Stegostoma tigrinum: one gene and its partner. The protein of the gene in region 2 interacts with the protein of the main gene of each other region in a biochemical or structural test. Links are inferred from orthologs where the notes say so. Each region holds a gene or a part of one and is shown on either strand. Other genes may lie near its edges.

Region 1 (9,923 bases), on a different chromosome or scaffold from region 2:
TGAGTTTGGGTTTGGGTTTGGGAAGTCAATTCTAACCCTTGTACGTGTGTCAAAAGTTGGCTACCTGGACTTTTTGTTTTCAAAAAGAAATCACAACAGTTTGTCTTAAATGCTAGCTCAGATTAGGGGCACTTGTTTTTGACAGCTCTCTGCTTCGTCCAGCACTGGAGAAAGGTCAAGTTAATCATCCGAAATAGAGAGTCTGCTGAAGATGGGGAGACGCTTGCTGAGGTCAGGGGTAGGAGACTCTGACCCGCTCACACTCCCAGAGCTGCTCAGGTAGCTGTCGGACATCGAGTCTGGAGGGCTCGGGGGAGGCTCATAGAGATGGGGCGACTCAGCCAAAGACCGGAGCAGGAAGGAAGGCGAATGGGCGCCATTGTTGGCGGAGGTCATGGGAACCTGGATGCCAATGCTGGGCGCAAACAGATTGGGTAGTTCCTGGCTCGAGTAGGTGAAAGGGTTGCTGGCGCAGTCTGGCAATGTGGGGGAGGAGCTGAGGTCCTCAGAGCTGAAAATGGGCGGAGGGGTGATCGAAGTGGGGCTGCCCAGCAGCCCACTGGAGGAACTGGAGATGCCAGAGAAGCTGTAGCTGTGCTGCAGGCGAGGCCGGTCGATCTTGTTGGAGGAGGAGAGTGGGAGATGCTGCTGGTCGTGAACGGGGGACAGGCGTCTCTCCTCTGCGTTGTGGATGAAGTGGCAGCGAGGGCCGTACGGGCAAAATCCAATGGTGTGGAAGGTGCGGCAGAGCTCAGTCTTGTACTTGGGGTGCCTGGCCAAGCTCCTCAGCTCGTGGATGCCGTGAGCAAACTGGCACTTGTCGCCGTACTTACACGAGCCATTCTCCTCGAAGGGGCGGCACAACTCTGTCTTGTAGCGGCTGGAGTTGACCTGGCTCTGGGCTTTCTGCAGGCCCGTCTCCGAGAAGGAGCGGTCCCGGAATTTGTTCTCCTTGTTGGCCCCGGCAGTGCTACCACTCTGCTCCAGCTTGAAGCTGTTCAGCAGCTGGTTCTGGTTGAACTTGGAGTTAGCGTTGACAAGGGCGACAGAATGTCTCCTCTGGTAGTCCATCAGTGTCGGGGTCCCGACTGCCTTCCTGTCCAGCAGGGGCACACTTGAGCTGCCTGCGTTGATGTTGTTGTTGTAGCTAATCATCTTGTTCTGGGCGAGGACAGAAAGCAAAACGATTGCTTTAGACACGACAAGAGTGGGGAAAAAAAACCCAGCCTGCTATACAAGTTGTATATCCAATCTCAGCCTCCCCATTACCAGCATTAATCTTCCTACCCACTTCACCCCCTTAAAAAGGCGCCTACACGCTTCATCCCCTTTAAAGAGTTTACCTTCAACCTAACCAGTCCATGAGGTACTAAGTGTCAATATCTCGGTGCAGAACGTTTTCTCAAATTCCGTAATGGTTTTGTTAGTGATTTTTGTATTTGCGGCCCCAGGAGGTGGATTCCCCTACTAGCCCAATTAAACATCCTCTATCTCCATCCTGTCCAACCATTTCGGACTTTTAAAGATTTAATCAGATCGTCATCGGTCTTCCCTCTCCTAAAGGAACTGAGCTGAAGTCTATCGTAACTGATAGCTATTATGGGGCAGAGAGAGAGAGAGAGAGAGAGAGAGCGAGAACGGTAATGAATTTGACGTCACAGCCAGCAACACTTGTTTACGTTGAACAGGCAAAGAGATGGGCTTGTGGCTCACCAGGCAGTAGTCAGCACCAATGAGACTGTCCCCCGCAAACCAACCCCCCCCCCGATGTTCCTTGGGGCAACTCAAATGACAAAGGGCAAGTTACTGGTGGGGGGTCATTACACAGCGCTGCACCCTGTAGGCGCTCCCCTGCCCCATTCCCCCAACTCATGCTCACTCCTGGAGCACAGTCCACTAACAAACCATCCCCTGACCACTGCAGTCACAATATTGACAGGTAAGAACCACTCTCTCCTCCCCACAGCTTACCAAAAATAACAGTGTTCCACTCATAAATACCACATCCAAATAATGCCCCATTTCCAACATGTTCGGAGAAACTTGAATGGAAGTAACAGAAACAAATAAGAAAGTTGATAAGTGTGCTCCGGCGAGATTTCACTCCCTAACACCCTCTTCCCAATAAGCCTCCCCCCCCTCTCTCCCACTTTTTGTACACCTTTCAGTGGTGTAATTCCTGGTACTAATCGCCTTCTTGGGAGGGGAGGCGAGAGACTTAACCTTTATTTAAAGGGGGGGGTGGGGTGGGCGAATGGGTACACAGAGCAAGAGCGATGGGGCTCTCTCTGTCTGAGTGTCCAGGATGAACTGATGCCCCTTTTAAGCCAAACTGGGGCAACAGAAGTAACAAAAAAAGTGGGTGGGGACTCCTGAAGTTCCAAATCAGAATCTTGGCGCGTTCCAAATCAGGGGTATCAACGTTCCAAATCAGAACTCCCCCTCCCAAAACAACATGCCTGATCTGGAATCAAGAAATCTCACCCTCCTCCTCCTTCTCTTCCATCGCCACCCGAAATTATTTTAAAATACCAATTTAACAAAAACAAACACCCGGAGAAGCACTACATAATGGGTTAAAATATAGAACAGATAAACAGGAAAGAAAGTTCCACCAAACCGCCTCAAACAGGACAGAGCAAAATATACAGCCAAATTCAAACAGCCAGAAAAGAAGTCCATTTAAAAAAATAACACGCAGGAATCTCTAATGTCGCAGGCGTGGGGGTGGGATCGTTAAGGATATGAAATCCGCAATCAGCCGTCAAGTTTTTTTAAATTTTGTTTTTAAAAAGAGCAGAATTAAAACTCTCTCATCTTAAGGCATCATTCCGGGAGTCTTTGCTCAGAAAGGTGGCTACACCAAAACGTCCACACAAAATTGTTTGATTAAATGCAGAATGAGAGCGAGAGAAATGAAGAAAGCCATCGGTAGATCGAGTGGCTGAGAAAGTTGCAACGTGCTTGCTGGAATAATTAATACCATTTCTCTCTCTCACACACACACACACACACTCACACAGAGGGCGACTCAAAACAAAAGTTAGCGCGTGCTTCTTTTTACCTTGCATAAAACTTCTCCAATGTCGTAGAAACATGAGGTGAACTTTGTAGACATGTCGAGGTGTCCGGGTTAGCAAAAGCAGGTCGATACGGCTGTGAAAGCCGGGGGATGGGGCGGGGCGAGACGGATCGGATCGACTCCCCAACTACAGTGAAGCTCCGACTGCTATTATTTTCTTCCTTTCCCTGTGTGTGTGTGCTGCGAGCCTCCCACTCGCCCCGCAGACTTTCAAAAACTCGCAGTCCGACATCACCCATAAATAATTTCCCTTCCCCCCGTAGGCGGATCCCTGGTATTTAAATCAGCCTGGCTTGCGAGCTCTTTTTTTTGAAAAAATCTCTTTGACTGACAGTAACTGCACCCAAGCAGCACAGAGCGAGAAAGGAAAATTAACGCCTTCCCACCAAATCCAAGTTAAAACTTTTTACATGGCGCTCTCTCTTCTCTCTCTCTCTATATATATATATATAAAATTCCTCTTTACGAGTTTGTTAAGGTGTTTTTTTCCACCCTCCTGTTTGTTAAATGAACTAAAATTTTACATCATACAACATCAATGAAGTTAACTAATTGGTAGTTTTCAGTCTGTTGGATTTTTTTTGTTTTGGGCGGGATTTGGAGCGAGCTGCACAGTTCAGAAAGGGATTTGGATCGGGAAGAAGCCATTGCGAAATGTTTGAGCAAGGGGGAGGAATGCGTTGTTTTATAAAAAACTTTCTGGATCAAACATTTGGGGGGCGGTGAAATGTGGTGCCCCGCAATATGTTGCACAAGGTTCAAGCGGGTTTGGTAAAGGGTGCAACGCTGTTTCAAAACGTGTTTTTAAAAGCGGCCACTCAGATAATGGCTGTTTTAATTTTTTAAAAAAGCGTAGTTTTAATAGTGTTTTTTTTTAAATGTACGTCGACTCGCAGTGTTTTGGCTGTTTCCGAATGATTTGCATTGTGCGCGGCTTATCGTCTGTAACAGATGGTTGCAATTTCATGTCTGTTACAACGGGTTTTGGCGGGAGAGAGCACATGGCGCTAAAGGAGCCTTTTTAGTTGAGTTTTTTTTGGGGGGGTTAGAAGAAAATAAGAATGAAACGAGAGAAGAGGGCTTTATAAAAATACGTTGGCCCTTCGGTTTGAGAAGGCCAAATAAGCGCCTCCTGACGTCAACTTTCTGTGTTTTTCTTATTCCTTCTTGAAAACAAAGTTTGACTTCTCATTTTAAAAAATCATGTTTTTCTTAATTCCCCCCTTTTATAAAAAAGACGTTTCCCTCATTCCTCCCCCTTTAGGAAACATTTCCTTTTTATTCCACCTTTAAAAAAATCTCATTTCACCCCCCTCTCTTTATGTGACTCCCTACACAGTGCAGGGGTTTGTATTAAATAGTTTTCTCCTCCTCCCTCCCCTTATTTAAGCGCACTCTAATTGGTATCGCTTAAGCTATTTTTTCCTTAAACTTTTCGTTCCGAGTGAATCCGCCTAATGTTGGTTTTTTTCAGGATCCATCAGCGAACGCCCCCCCCCCCCGTCATGCGCTTTTTCTTCAATTTTCCAAAGCTCAACGATTTACAGCGACTCTCGATCCCCCCCCCCACCTTTCGTAAAACAAAAAGTTCGGCAAAATAAAGTAATACTGAAACTGGAATCGGGGGGGAAAAATAGAGATGTGGTGTGGTTCAGCGCTGTGGCTATTTTAAAACGGAGGGTTCAACATTATAAACAGTGCGACTGTGTCTTGGGGGAGGGGGTGGCGAAGAGAGAGGAACTGAATCCATTCAGATCTCAAATCACCAAACCTTCCTCAATCCTATTTGCACGTGGTGGCTGAATCAGCAGATAGTTGACACTATCCACCCGCGAAATAACAGCTAGAATACTGTCGCTTTGCTTTCTCTCTCTTTTAATATTCATCTTCTATTTTTGGAAAAGCAATTCTACAAGTTTTCCTCCCCTCCCCCAACCCAAGTTATTTTCCCGCAAAACAAAATCCCTAATAGCCACAGAGGTCAGGACAGGGGCTCCCCTTTGAAAGTTCTCGTTCTTCTCTTCACAAGTTATTTACCTTTGCGGCCACTGGGATATGTTTTGAAGGTGCGCCAAACCCCAGACAATGTTTTTAGACTCATCTGAGGGGGATGAGACAGCTCCTAGCGCTGGCGCCTCTCTCTCCATGTGCTGTATGGGAGTGTGGAGGCTGTATCACACTGGTTTTCTCTCTGCCGGGCTGCAGGGAGGGGAGGTCCCACCACTTCCTGCACTGGCGCATTGTAAACAACAAGCCCCACACCCTTCCCCACCAGGCCGCGTTTTGTGCTACTTCCAATTGGGACCCTCTACAGGAATGCTTTCAGTTTTTGCTTGGGGGGTGGGAGTTGGGAGGAGGTGGTGGGGAGACGCCGCTTTCTTTATCTCCCTCCCCTGTCCCCTATCCAGCCCTTGCTTCAAGTTAATGTTTGGTTTTCAGTCCCTGCCTTAAACACTATCCCAGCAGTCCCTTGGCCTCTCCGATCTCAAATTGTTGTTAAAATATGTTTAAAAATGTTGTTGAGCAAAGGTGTAAGGGTGGCACACTGGTTAGCCAGGGGCCCGGATTCGATTTCAGCCTCGGGCGACTGTCTGTGTTGGGTTTGCACATTCTCCCCGTGTCTGCGTGGGTTTCCTCCGGGTGCTTAAAGATGTTCAGATTGGGCGGATTGGCCATGATAAATTGCCTGTCGTGTCCAGGGAGGTGCAGGCTGGGTGTGGAAATGCTGGGTTACAGGTACAGGGTAGGCTAGAAGGGCTGATGCACGCCAGGCATAGGGATTCTACACGGGCCAAAGGTAGTTAGATGGAGTTAGGCCGCAGATGAGCCATGATCTCATTGAACTGCCAAAAATCTTGAAACAAAAACAGAAAGCACCAAATGGCACCAGAGACTGGTGACTCTGTACCCTTTTCAACTATACTCATGCACTCCTGTGCTTGAGCACAATAAAATCTAACTCTTAAACAGCACTGGAGAAACTCAGCAGGACTGGCAGCGTCTGTAGAGGGAGAGAGAGAGAATAACAGAATTGACATTTTGAGTACAGTGACCCTCCTTCACAAATGTGGTGCGCTTTGAAAGCTGGTTGGGGGGTGGTAGAGGGCAGGGCTAGATCGAGCAATAGGGCAATTTCTGGGGTAGAGTGGTAGAATTTAACAGCAACTAAAAGGCAAAGGGAGTGGTAATGGTGGCACTAATGGAATGAATCATTTGTCCAGCATGAATGTGGACAGTTGAATAATGAATGCCTCTGTTCAAAAGCAAGAACTTGAAAAACCAGATTTAAACTGGCTCACAGCAAAAAACAAAAGAAGCTCAAAATGGAGCAACCAAGTTCACAGTCTGAAGTAGCTGAACCCAACGATGGAGGTTGGCAGCTGGAAAATTTGGCCGGGGTGGGGAAGTTGTTGTTCCTCCAGCTTCCGTCAGGCTTTGCTGGAAGGCTGCAACAGGCCTTGGACAGACATGGCAGCCCGACAGGCAAAGAGTGAATTAAAGTGGCATGTGGCCAGCAGCTCAGGACCAGGTCTGCGAAGCAGTCACCCCAGGCTGTCAGCTTTAAATCACTCATCGGGTGCCATTATCGCATTGCTGTTTGTGGAATCTTGCTGCGCTCAGCTTGCCCTGCTGCCCTTCCCCCCCCACCCCCCACCCCCCCCCCCCCCCAACTTCGAAACCTGGTTGTGAAATGCTAGGGGAAATCCTGAGGTGGTGGAAGGTGCTAGAGGAATGCACATTTTTGTGCACTTCCATTCACGGTCCTAGGGGTGTCGGGCTATAGTTGGACTCTGAGCCAGATCAGGAAGAGTGGGCAGACTGACAGGGAATAGTGAAGGTCCCATGACCAGGGAAGAGCTGTATCTCATCACCAGGTTGGTATTAGGAAGTAACATTGTGGTGTGGTGTGCCTCCTTAATAATGCATGGCATAAATTTCAACAGCTTGTACACCCCCGTGCCACACACACATACCCCTCACTCACATACACACACCCCTCACACACACACACACATCAGACACTCCCCTCACACACAGACACGCACACACACAGACACCCTCCTCATACCACCCTCACATCCCCTCTCACACACACACACACACACCCCTCACACACATGCACCTCAGACACCCCCCTCACACACACACATACACACACGCCCTCCTCACACCACCCTCACATCCCCTCTCACATACACACACAGACAACCCTCACACACATGCCCGCACACACACACACCCTCTCACACACACACATACCTCACACCCCCCTCACACACACATACAGACACACACACACATACCACTCACTCACATACACACACCCCTCACACACACACACACGCGCGCGCACAAACACACACCCCCCTCACACACACACCCCCAACACACACACGTACATATACCCCTCACATATACACACTGCCTTCACATACACACTCCCGCCTCATACCCCTTTACATATACAAACATTCCACACATACTCCCTCACACATAAAACACCACCACACATGCACCCCAACCCAGCCCGACCCTCTACTCAAGAAAAACGAACATGACAACTAACTTAACATTGGTCAAGGGTTAGTGTAGGCCTGCTTCAGGCACTGATGCCAGTGATCAGGCGGGCTGCTTTCTGCTTTGTTTCCTGCTTCCCAATTCCTGGAATTTTGTGCCTGTTACAGCTGTGTGGTCTGGATTGCAGGCCATCAGGACGGATCAAGGGGGAGCAGAGCTTTCCAGGGAGAATGGAAAAACCATGAAAGAGAGAGAACGTTGCTAGGAAGTCTCAACTTTCCATCAGCTGTTCATGACTCACCCCAGATAAGTGGAAGGGCTCGTAACGGAGGGTCATCATCACTTCCCAGGCCTTGGGGTCTAGGCAAGTTCTTCTGCTTCACCTATTTGTCAAAGGCCTGAAAGCCATGGAATTCTCACTTCACACCTTTCCCTCTTCCCCTGAGACACGCCTTAAAAACCTACACCTTTCACCAGATTCTTGGTCTGAGGCTCCACGTCACATTTTGTTGGTTGCAATCCTTTGAAGCATCTTGTGTCTTTGACCATGTTTTGATCAACGAGGGCACACATACAATGCGTCGGTACCCTTATGGCTTGCAGTGGAGACCTAGAGATCAATCTTCATTCGGGATACTCTAGGCTAAATTTGGAAGTTTGATACTCATGCCCCTTCTTGGGCTACAAATAGAATTTCGCTCCTGGATTGAGAGGGAGAAATTGCCGCTTGGCATTTTATTTTAATTGATCCCATGTCTTTGGCGTTGTCTAGTGACAAACACATGAAAAGTCTGCTCAGAGAGGGAGAAAGCCAGCAAAGACCATCTAATCCCACTCCAGAAAAAATAGCTGGCCTAAGGCTGGAGGGAGGCCCCTGAGATACATAGTGCAGCTGGATTCAGGCCAGTCATTTGAGGTGAGGGAAGTGAGACAAGGGAAGAGTGTTCGAGAGTGGAAATGCTTCCCCCCCACCCAACTCCCGGAAGGAGGAAGCAGCAACTGAGAGGGAGACGGAGCAAGGTGGCGGGGGGTGGGTGGGAGGTCATGGAGAAAGGTTGTGGGGGGTGGGGAGGTCACGGAGAAGGCAGAGGAAGGAGAGTGAGTTCCACCCATCATTGCCAGGGTGTAGATCCTGGGAACCGTTTTGTCAGCAATGCCTGGCAGGTGAGTCCTCCCGTCCCAGGCCCCTTTTATAGCTCAGCGGGCACCAGAATGGCACATGGACCTTGTTGGTCATGTTCGGATGGCGAGCACGGGTATGCCAGCCTGAGTCAAACTCCGCAAAGTGCTGCAACGGATGCTTGTGATTTCTGCCAGCTGGCAGGCACACTGGCAGCAATAAAAGCCTGGTCACAGCCCAAGCAGGCTCGGGGCAAGTGGGCATTTCCTCTGCGGTGACCATCAGAGACTGACCCACCTCCCTTTGCACCTCTGGCCTCCTCGGCCCACCTCCAGCTGGTGTCTCGAGTCATCACTGCTCACTTCCTGCCTCTGTTACCGTGAGAGTAACAAGTTTCCCCAAGCTCTGGGTGACTCGACTGTGTTTCCACAGCCCCATGCAACACCTCACAGGTTACTGTACAAACGCTGCAATGGTTGAGTCTTTTGTTCCACTTGAGCTGCAGGCTCAACCCAACATCCCGTCCGGTGCCTAGGGCTCTGGAAATCGCCCACAGTGCCACAAGCCCGGTGGAAGACGGTCAGTGCCAAGAGCAAGGGGTTGGCTATTCATGATGATGTAATGGGTAGGCGACATGCGCCCACTGATGCTCTATTTAACTGGTGGTGTGAGGTGAGCAAGGCTGTTTCCTGTGGTTGGGTAGGGTGCGGGGCGGTTTGCTGACCTGAGGACGGGGTGGGGGCGTTGACGGTGAGTTATTGGGGGGGGGGGGGGGGGGGGCGAGGTGCGTGGTCAATCCTAAAATTAGAATTCGGCCATAGAGAACAGAATCAGACGTGGAAGGGGCAGTGGGAAAGTGGTGCACTCTTCTCCCCCAGAGAGTGTAGGTGAGTTAACCGGGCACTGGGATGGGCGGACAAGGATATCGAGGGACAAACGCAGAAGTTGCTGGAGAAGCACACACAGCCAGTCCAGCAGCATCTGTGAAGACAGACAAAAAATTCCGAGTTAACGTTCCGGGTTTGGGTGACCCTCCCTCGGAACTGACAGTGGCTGGGAAGGTAGCGGCCATCTTTTCTGAAGAAGGGTCACCCAGAATCAAAACGCTAACTCTGACTTTCTTTTTTTTTGCTTTTTTTTTCTCTTCACAGACGCTGAGCTTTTCCAGCAACTTCTGTTTTTGTTCCCGATTTGCAGCACCCA
Region 2 (10,877 bases):
TCTGTCTATTTATTTCACGAGCCGCTTCCCCTCCCCCGTTTCTGAAGAAGGGTCTGGGCCCAAAACGTCAGCTTTCCTTATCCTAAGATGCTGCTTGGCCTGCTGTGTTCATCCAGTTCCGCACCTTCTTATCTCAGATTCTCCTGAGGGTTACTCCTGTTTGATTGTCTGCATATCTGAGTGATGATTACTGCCTTGTTTCTAAGTTCAGAATTATAAACTAATCTGGCTTTGCTAAATAAATATTTTACATTACACACAAAGCTACAGTGAACATCAACTCTGGGCAGGAAGACATACATTGGTCATTACAAAATGAAAAATGTTTGGAATATTCCAAAGTACATGTAGAGAGAAACAGGGTTAACAATTAACACAATGACCCTTCATTAAAACAGAGGACTCAACACAAAATATTAAATGCTGTTTCTCCACAGATACTGCCTGATCTGCTCAGTATTTCTAGCATTTCCGGTATTGTATTTCAAAATTCTAGCATTTTCAGTACTTCCCTATAAAGTACCAGCCTGGGGTAACTCTAAAGCCTTGATCAACTGTTTAATTATGCAGCTCTGCCTTAAGTGGATGACAGAGATAGTAGGAACTGCCGATGCTGGAGAGTCTGAGATAGCACAGCGTGAAGCTGATTGAACACAGCAGGCCAAGCAGCATCAGAGGAGCAGGAAAGTTTGTTGTTTCGGGTCAAGACCCTTCTTCAGAAAAGTGGACGACACCTTATTTTTCATCTATGGCACCTAGTCACCCACTATCACCTGCAAGCTCTAATGCAAAGTTATTGATCCAAAATTTAAATTGCTTTTCTCTCTCCATGGATGCTGCTGAACTTTCAGAGTGTTTTCAGCACGTTCCGTTTCAGATGTCCAGCAGTTACACTATTTTGCTTTTAGCTCCTCCAGCTCACTTGCAGTGTTTTGTTGCTCCACACGATCTAAAGTCTTTAAAACAAGATTGTAGTTCTATTAAAGGACAAAAATGCAAGACATTTTGCTGTTGAAGTAGCTGTGCTCTGTAACATTAAAGATAATTTCATAAAAACTTATGGGTGCATCCTTGATTTCTCCAGTATCATCTAAAATAACACTGAACTTGTTCTGCACATACTTTAAAAAGTTACTTATTGAAGAGTCATGTTTTGGAACATCTAAATAGGAAGCAGAATTCATTCAAACCTGATGCAACCACAGTTCATGAAAATGCAAGTGTCAACTCCCACATGAATACTGCAAGTTTCATGGAAACAGCTACACAGTAGTGAGCCTGAAAAAGCATGTAAATGCATTGATCCAAGCTGTAACTCAAATCACTTCCTATATCAATAACAAATAGTGGAAGAGGATTAATTTCATCCATGCAGAATTACTTAAGTAAAAATAGATTTTATGTAGTCCTTCAATTTAAGCCAAACTACTTCCAATATAGAAAGCAATCTGCACTCTTAAAGAAAATAATTGTTAACACTGAACGCTACTTTAAGATCAAAAATGTTCAGGAATTAAGTCATCTTGCAACACACTGTAGAAGGTTAAAGCTGAGTATCAGTTGTACATAAAATGTTATGTTTTGTGGCTTTTCCTACAATTGCAATTTTTAAGCTGGCCTCTCTTGTTTGGTCCAAGCTCCAAATACGTTATTATGATCCCTTCTCTGACACAATTCCAGAATTATTGCACTGTCTTCTGGGCGAACTCACTTTTCAACCAAGACTTCACCCTGCAAACCCATCTACTTCAGATTTTCCCCTTTTAATACCTTCAAGTATCTGATTAAAGTCAGTGAATCATTACTTTTTCATTTACCTCAGTGCTTTACAGACTTGTCCCAGATCAGTGGGCGTTGAAAGGTCAGTAACTTGAAGTATTTATTTATTCAATTTTTCCCCTCTCTACAAATGCCACCTTGAGCCACTGAGTGTATCCAGCATTACCTGTTATTTAGGTTTTATCCTTTTCAGTCTCGCCAGAATCCTATGCGGTTATTCTTATCCTTTCACTTTGGTCGGTCATTTCTGAATCAGCAGATAATGGTGAACAAAGCACAATTTTTGTGTCACTAAGCCTCACAGTAAGAACTTCATAAACTGTCCCAACAATGCAGTCCCTAGCGGACAGTCCAACCCCGCTGATGGATTCTGCCAAGTCCATCAGAATGTTTTATACAGGCTTTGTTTATTTTTCCAAGATGAACACGGAGACCCACAGAAAATGCTTCCTAACTGCCGTGTCTAAAACACAACTGAACCACCTAATTCATATGGGAAAATTTAGGACATGCAGGGACATCAATATATTCGCACATAGTTAATGACGTTGCTTTGACTATCTCCGATCTTAATTAACAATAACCTTAGCTAACAGACACAAATGTAGACTGATTCTCTTAAAATATAGTCAAATTCAGCAAGTAGCTTAGAATAATAGCTGGCCTACACAAAAATGCCAACTGAGTAACATTAAACTCAATATAATGTACAAGATTTCCACTAAACAAAAGTGCTGGCAATGCTCAAGTTTCTTTTCGGCAAGTTGTGCCTCTCAGGAGAAATGAGCAAGATCACGTCCCAAAGGCCTTTCTGGTTCAGTGCCAGCAGTCTCAGGGATTTGGGGTTAATCGGCGAACTATCACAAATCTACGCAGAGACATAATTCAAGAATATCTGACGCACCACAACCTGGCTAGAAGCTGAAATCAACTCGTCTCCTGAATAGTCAAAACAGTACACAAATATGACAGCACTTTTCCATCGGAAATTTGTCGGAGACATGCTGTTTACCTCGTGCAAACAGCATTTGCTGTTGGTAAATCCGTGTAAACTTCAAGTGCGTTCAAAGAGCAGGTCGAGGAGTTTCGCTGTAAATCTTTTTCACAATAAAGAAGTGATAACCGATGGATGAATATTCCCTTCCTCACACCCCGCAAACGTGCAAAGGGAGAATTATTTCCCAAGATCCGCCACATATTAAGAAACAAACCATGAGATTTGTGTGTTTGGGGGGGGGGGGAAAAAGAGGTGGGTGGAGAATGCAACATACGTCTCTCCCATGCGAGACGACCCTAAGACTCGGTACTAAGTAATCATCGTCCGTCCTCACCTCCATCTCTATACATCAAGCCAGCTACAATACCAAACACTACGTGTTACTGAAATGACAAACTTATTACACTCCCGAAACCGGGGAAGTCTCGAAGGAAAGACCATCTGTCTGTCGATACTGGAGTTGAACGTTGTTAACTGAACAGTTCCCCCCGCCACAACAAGGATTCCGAAACGGCAGGACCGCCGGGAATGGCAGATGGGCAACTTCGCTGACTGAAAAACACAGAGCCAATACTCTCCTCATCCTGGTGGTGACGGAGAGAGGGGGGGGGGGGGTGGTCCGTATTGTCCTCAAAGCATGCAGCCCCCCACACCGCCTTTTTGTTATTTGTATCTGAAGAGGGAGCCTGTTCCGGTGAGAGGTTTCAGTGTGACAAAGCAGTACAAACAAATAAAAGCGAGTCAGTCAGTTTTCAAATACAGGGGTCTGGGAGGAAATCCACCTGCCGCACAATTTCTCAGCCTCCCACCTCAAAGTCTCCGTACCGCTTCTCTTCCCAGTTTTAGGGAGCCTTTTAGGCCCGACTGAGAGAGGGATGATTTTTTTCACCTTTCAATTCTCCCAGATATTTCAGAACGAGTTCCACGCCTGTGTTAGGAAGCTACAGTGACGGGTAGATTCAGTCCGGCTTAATAAAATCCTTTAGAAACATTCTAAACTCTACGTTTTAGGACTCTGTCTGACAGAACACACCGCCCCCCCCCCAAACAAACCCCCCAACCTCCGTACCATTAGGGAGTTTACTTCAAACTATGTTTACAGAAGGTCGATCGAGCGGATAACATGAGTAGTCCGCTGTCAAACTTCGACGTTGGAACTTACCTTCAAGGCAAATTTCTCCTGGGTTTTCTTGCTAAAACATTCCAAAACTTTGCCATTGATGCCCAGTCCCAGAACCTGCGCCGTGACCTTGTAGTCGTCGGTGATGGCGTTTTTCTTGGTCTGAGCGCCGGTTCTCTGTAGCTGGAAGGGAGCCGGGGGAGGAGGGTAAAGGGGAGCCGGAGGCGGCGGCTCTGGGATCTGGTTACCTTGTTGCGGATCCCTGGCTGTCGCAACGTTCGACAACATTGTTACATCGGAGCTCGATACTTTGTAACCCAGAGCAAACCCCTGGCTCTTTGTCAAACACCAAGTTACAGACTTGCCACCAGAGACAGTAAAAGTAGCTGGATCACCAAACCTCACAAATCCCCCGAGTTGCTACACCTCCTGTCAAGAAGTAGCGATCAAAATCCAAATCTCCCTTTTTTTAAAAGCCTAGCTAAAGATCCCACTTGATCAGTTTCACGGCACTTCCAATTGAGTTTCAGTGGAAATAGACGTGCTGACGTCAAAGCCTCACTACCAGACGGGGAGAGTAATGACGGCCTTTTCTTAAAGGTGGTCGGGACAAAGGACGCTTAAAGGCAATGTTTGTTTCGGCCTTCCTGGAGGGCTGCCGTGGAATTTCTGTCGCAAAATCGGAGCCATTTTGATAGTGCGTGTCAGAAATGCTACTATGTTCAGAAATGTCATTGTACCCAAGGTAAAATCAAAAACATGGTGGCTGGGAGCAACAGCAGAGTACTTGGCTCTTGTGGCCAGATTTTCAGTCATGAGGCCAGCCACCTATCTGCTGCCCACTCTTAACAATCGCATAGGTATTTAAAAATTAATCTGAGAAGAAATATTATGACACATCTCTGGTGCAGTTGGAACTTGAACCCAAGCCATATCAAGCCCAGAGATAGGGGTATTCCCAGTGCACCACAAAAACTCCCTTACCGAGACAAATGGAATCCAATCCAGATAAATGTGAGGGTGATTCACTCAGTCAGGATAAACAAGGTGAGGAAACACATGATGGGTAGTACTGGAAGCGCTGAGAATCAAAGGGACCTTGGAGTGCATGTACACCATTGCTGCATAAGACTGAACATAAGAGAGACAATACAGTCCTTTAAGGTTAAGAACAGGGAGGTTAGTTGGAACTATGTAAAACATGATTTGGCTGCAGATAGCATATTGCATGCAATGCAGAAATCCATGTTATATAGGAGGAATATCATAGTGATGGGAGAGGGTGCAGAGGAGATTTAGCCTTTGGAGTGAAGAATTTCTTGTATGAAGAGAGTCAAGACACATGGGTTGTTTTCCTGAGGGTAGAGGAGATTGAGAAGGGGCCTGATTTGAGGTGTATGAAATTATTAGAGGCATAGAACGGGCAGACAAGAAGAAACATTTCCTCTTGATGGAGAAATCAATGACCAGGGAACTCAATTTAAAGTTTAGAAGAGATGTGAGGAAAATCATTTTCACCCAGAGGGTGCTGGGAATGGAGAACTCACAGTTTGTCAGCATTGTGGAGGCAGAAACCCTTGTTACATTCGAGAACTATTTAGATGTGTACTTGTGATGTCAGTACGTACAAGGCTATGGGCCAAATGCTGGAAATGGGATTAGAATAGTTAAATGAGATAATACGGTGTGAAGCTGGATGAACACAGCAGGCCAAGCAGCATTAGAGGAGCAGGAAAGTTGATGTTTTGGGTCGAGACCCTTCTTCTTAAAGAAGGGACTCGACCTGAAACGTCAGACGTTCCTTCTCCTCTGTTGCTGCTTGGCCTGCTGTGTTCATCCAACTTCAAACCGTGTTATCTCAGATTCTCCAGCATTGGCAGTTCCCACTATCTCTGTAAAAATAGTTAAATGGTTGCTTTTGACTAATGTAGATGTAATGGGCGAAGGGGCATTTGTCTGTGCTGTAAGTCTCTATGACATTATAAGGGCATTTATAAAAAGAAAACTGACACCATTACAAATCTGCTGTTACCACTGTCTTATCGTCCTCAGTCTTTGACTTGTGACCAAGTCTCATCCATTTGGACCATTTTTTAAATGATCACTGCTAAGAAATCATTTGAAAGTTGTGTGTTGACCCATTCTAATATAGTCAGTGTCAGAAGAAAACTACATTGTCAAATTCAATGGAAACTTTCATCTAAACAAACCTGAATGACTGGATAAATCTCACCAATAATTACATTTGTTATTGATGGCTGGAAGTTGCTTCATAATGTGTTTAAGTGCTAGACTGAGCATGGAGCTCTGCTTTCCTCAATAACAGAACTTAACTCAACAATGAAAACACACAGGCTGTGCACTCATGAACTGTTGCAGAAGGGGGCTTGCCTCCACCTTCTCAAGGGCAGTGAGGGATGGACAATAAATGCTGTTTACTGACAAAAAGACAAAAATAACCAACTTTATCATTTTTTAAATTATCTCTTCTGCTTTCTTTCTCATTCACTTCTCATTTTCTCTTTCCCGTTTTCTTATCTCATAACAGCTCACTTGACAAGGGTGTCACAATCACATTTTTGTCTTTCATTCTCATGCTGGAAAGATTCCCTGGAAATGGATTCTAAATCCTATACAAGAGACCACAAACCAAAAGGATAACCTATCTGTTCTCTTTGCAGACTGAGGTATGATCTGGGGTGTATCACCAGCATTTTCTGAATTCATTTCAGATGTCTAGCAATTACAGCGTTTTTGTTTGATTGTGTTCTGGAGTTTATCTGTGCCGATCCTGGCAAACCTGACTCCTCAGTGCCACAGCTGCTGTATGGCATCTCTACAGAAGACAACATGTGCTGCTGAACCATGAATACAAACTTTTGAAGATGAAAGTCTGAAATTCTGAGTAGGACCTGGATTTTTCAGCAGATATCACCATTCGATTTTTTTTCATAAGCTTATAATAATGTGATTGACATGTTTTCCTGAAATGTGCTGAACGGGAAAAACAGCAGCAAATTTCTCTGCTGCTGTTTCTGGCATATTTCCCAACTCCAGCTTTAATTAGATCCTATGCAAATCCTTAAATTACATATTTCAAGGTTGATTTTTGGGTCAAATCTTGCGTTTTGGCAATATTAGAAGATAAATTCCCAGAACTGTTTTCAAAATTCAAAGCAGGTACGTCAGATCTAAATAATTATTGTTTATCAGAGTTAGTAGCTTTTAATAGAGAAAACTTCTTAATTACTTGACAACAATACAGTAGTGATTATCTGCAGTGCATTTTTGTTTGAAGATGTTTTGAGATCAAATATCACCAATAAAGTTTCGTATTGTGCTTAGTTCTGTAAAATAAATATCAATGCCTCTGTGACAGCCAATGGGTTGGACTAGGACAGGACTTGCATGTCTCCAAATTCATAATCAAAGCTACAGCAATCAGACTGTTCTCCAGTTCTATTGCCTACTCAGACACAAAAATTAAATGTTAAGGATGACACAGCATTTATAATGAAAAGTTAAAACAGACAGCAACACTTCATTTGTTCATTTTTTGATGTGACATGGAATTTGTTGGCAAAGTGCGTATTTATTGCCGTTAAACTAAATGGCTTGCCATTAAAAATCAAGCACACTGCTGTGGACCTGGAATTGCATATATACAAGACTAGGTAAGGATGGCTGATTTCCTTCCTTAAAGGACCATAAGACCATAACAAGTGGGAACAGGAATAGGTTGTTTGGTCCTTTGAATTTGCTCTGCCATTCAGTAGAATCATGGCTGATCTGACATTCCTCATGACCGCTTTCCTGCCTTTCGCAATAACCTTTGATTCCCCTACTGATCAAGAATCTATCTCTGGAATAACTCTCTGAGAGAATAAATTCCTCCTCATCTCAGTCTTAAATTGGAACCTCTTTATTTTGAGACTGTGTTCTCTGGTTCTTTCTCATGAGGGAAAATATCCTCTCAGTATTTACACTGTCGAGCTCCTTAAGAATCTTATATGTTTCAATTGGATCATCTCTCCTTGTACTAAACTCTAGTGAGTGCAGTCCCATTCTGTTTAGTGTTTGCACATAAGACAATGCCTCCACACTAGGTATCATCCTAGTGAACCTTTTCAGAACTGCCTCCAATGAAATGATACCTTTCCTTAAATGAGGGACCAAAACAACTCAGTACTCCAGATGTGGGCTCACCAGCACTTTGTACAGTTGCAGAAATATTTCCCTATTCTTTTACTCTAACCATCTTGAATTAAGGGCCAAAATTCCATTAGCCTTCCTGATACCTGCAGCACCGTGTACTAGCTTTTTGTGTTTTGTACACAAAAAACCTCCGGCCGCTTTGTGTTGCAACTTCCTGCAGTTTCCTCCCATTCTGTTCCTTAGTTCTCCCTTTCAAAATGAACAATTTCACATTTTCCTACATTTTACTCTATTGGCCAACTTTTTGCTCACTTGCTTAGCCTTTCAATATCTCTCTGTAAAATGTTTATATCCCTCTCGTAGCCTGCCTTTCTGACAATTCTTGCAACAAGTGCAAATTTGGCTACAGTGCATTTATTTTCTTCCACCATATCAGTAAGCTATATTGTAAAGAGATGCAGTACCAGCACTGATCTCTGTGGAACCCCACTTGTCACAGGTCACCAAATTGATGAAAAACCCTTTATTCCCAGTTACAGTTTCCTGCCCATGAGCCAATTCTCTAGCAATGCCAAAATACGATCTCCAGTACCATGGACTCTTATCTCATGTCTTAACCTTTTGTGAGGTATCTTGTCAATCGCCTTCTGAAAGTTCAAATGCAACACACCTATTGGTGCCCCTCTATCCAATATGGTAGAGACTTAATGAAAGAACGCTAATAAGTTAGTCAGACACGATTTCCCTTTCATGAAGCCATGCTGACTCTATTTGTTTAGATTATGATTTTCTAAATGTCTGGCTGTTACTTCCTTACTAGTTGATACCAAAACATTTCCAACAATAGATGTTAGGCTAATCAGTCTATGGTTATCCACTTTTTGCTTCCTTCTGTTTCCGTATAGGGGTGCCAAGTTAGCAGTTTTCCAGTCCTCTGGTACTTCTCCAGAATCTTTTGGAAAGTTACAACCAATACACCACTATCTCTGCAGCCATATCTTCTAGGATTTGAGGATGCAAGCCATCAGGGCAGGGACTTATCTGGCCTATAGCACCATTAGTCTGTCTAATACTACTTCTCTAGTGATAGTGATGGTACTTACTTCCTTCCCTGTGTTCTTTAGTTTTAATGGGATGTTGGATATAATTTCCACTATACAAACTGATGCAAAATATCTGTTTAACTCCTCTGCCATTTCCTTGTTGCCCAAAACCATCTGCCCAGATTCATTTTCTACGGGTCCTATATTCACTTTGACCTCTCTTTTCCTTTTTATATATTTATAGAAATTCTTATTGTCACATTTTGTTCATTGCTAGTTTGCTCTCATAGGTTATTTTCACTGTCTTTATTATCTTTTAAATCCTCCTTTGCTGCATTTTGAATCCATCTCAATCCTTACAGCTGTCACTGACTTTGGCCTCCCTACATTCTTTTTCTTTAAACTTAATGCTCTCTGCAACTCTTTGGTTAACCATGGTTGGTTTATCTCTCTCTTCTTTCCCTTGCTGTTTTTTAACTTTCACCCAAATGGACTGTACATCATCCAAGCCCAGAACATCTCTCACAAGTCACCTCATTTATTAAATACAGAGCTTCTCCATCACCTTTTTAACCCTTCCTTTCTGTCTCTCCGGAAGATCGAATACCCCAAATGTTAAGTTCCCAGTTTTAATCTCCTTATAATCATGTTTCTGTAGTGGCTATGAGATCATATTCATTTACCTCAATTTGCACTGTCAGTTTGTCCACCTTATTCCAAATGCTTTGTGCATTAAGCTAGAAATCCTTTAAGTTTGTTCATTTATTGAATTTCCTAGCACTTTTATGGTTCTTTGGTACAATATGGCATTCATACATTTTGTCCCTTTTATTTCTGGTAACAACCAACCCCATCATTAACCTACAATCCTACCTTAATCACATTTTTTCAGAATTAGCAATCATCCATTAATCATCAAACTCTCCTACTAATTTGTTGAAAAACTATTCCCACAGCTTTTGCTGAGCTGGCCAAGTATTAGGAATGATCAACTTGCAGAGGGTAGCCATTACATGCAAGATTTTTAAAGTAGATATTTGAACTGCTAATCACTACTTTTTGATCCTCACACACAGCAACCCCACCCACACACAAACCCCACACACATCAAACACCACACACACCAACCCAACACACAACCCAACCCAACCCACACACTCCTCATCCCCACACACACCAACCCACATACCACAACACCCACACACCAACCCCACACACATCAAACCCCAAACACCCCAACCCCACACACATCTCACCCTCACACACACTAACCCCCACACACACCCCCATCCCCACACACACCCCATCCCCACACACCCGAACCCCCACACACCTCAACTCCAAAAACCCCAACCCACACACACCTCAACCCCACTCACCCCAACCCCCACACACCCCATCCCACGCACACACACCCGATACACAACCCAACCACACATACCCCAACCCCCACACGCTCCAACACCATACACCCCAAACCCCACACATTCCAAACCCCACACATACCAACCCCCGTACACAACTGAACCCCCACACACTCCAACCCCCACACACCCTGAACCTACACACCCCAATCCCACACACACCCCAACCCCCACACACAACCCAACCTCACACACCCCAATCCTCACATACACCAACCACACACACACCCCCACCCCACACACCCTAACCCCCACTCACCCCAACCCCCATATACAACTGAACCCCCACACGCTCCAACCCCCACACATCCTGAACCTACACACCCCAATCCCACACACACCCCAACACCCATACACAA

What was found.
Region 1: of the proteins of MAP kinase-activated protein kinase 2 (region 2) and zfp36l1a, one has a biochemical effect on the other in vitro, tested with the Homo sapiens proteins (2 studies listed by BioGRID). The link is inferred for Stegostoma tigrinum from reciprocal best matches to the Homo sapiens genes MAPKAPK2 and ZFP36L1.

Annotation. Positions count from the first base shown.
Region 1 is NC_081363.1:80,870,547-80,880,469, reverse strand, and holds the start of zfp36l1a (mRNA decay activator protein ZFP36L1a), read right to left. Parts: upstream 4,551-9,923; 5' UTR 3,119-4,550; coding exon 3,065-3,118; intron 1,684-3,064; exon of another isoform or gene 1,344-1,683; intron 1,162-1,343; coding exon 181-1,161; 3' UTR 1-180. UniProt on the Homo sapiens protein: Zinc-finger RNA-binding protein that destabilizes several cytoplasmic AU-rich element (ARE)-containing mRNA transcripts by promoting their poly(A) tail removal or deadenylation, and hence provide a mechanism for attenuating protein synthesis.
Region 2 is NC_081374.1:17,685,101-17,695,977, reverse strand, and holds the start of MAP kinase-activated protein kinase 2, read right to left. Parts: upstream 4,441-10,877; 5' UTR 4,185-4,440; coding exon 3,939-4,184; intron 1-3,938. UniProt on the Homo sapiens protein: Stress-activated serine/threonine-protein kinase involved in cytokine production, endocytosis, reorganization of the cytoskeleton, cell migration, cell cycle control, chromatin remodeling, DNA damage response and transcriptional regulation.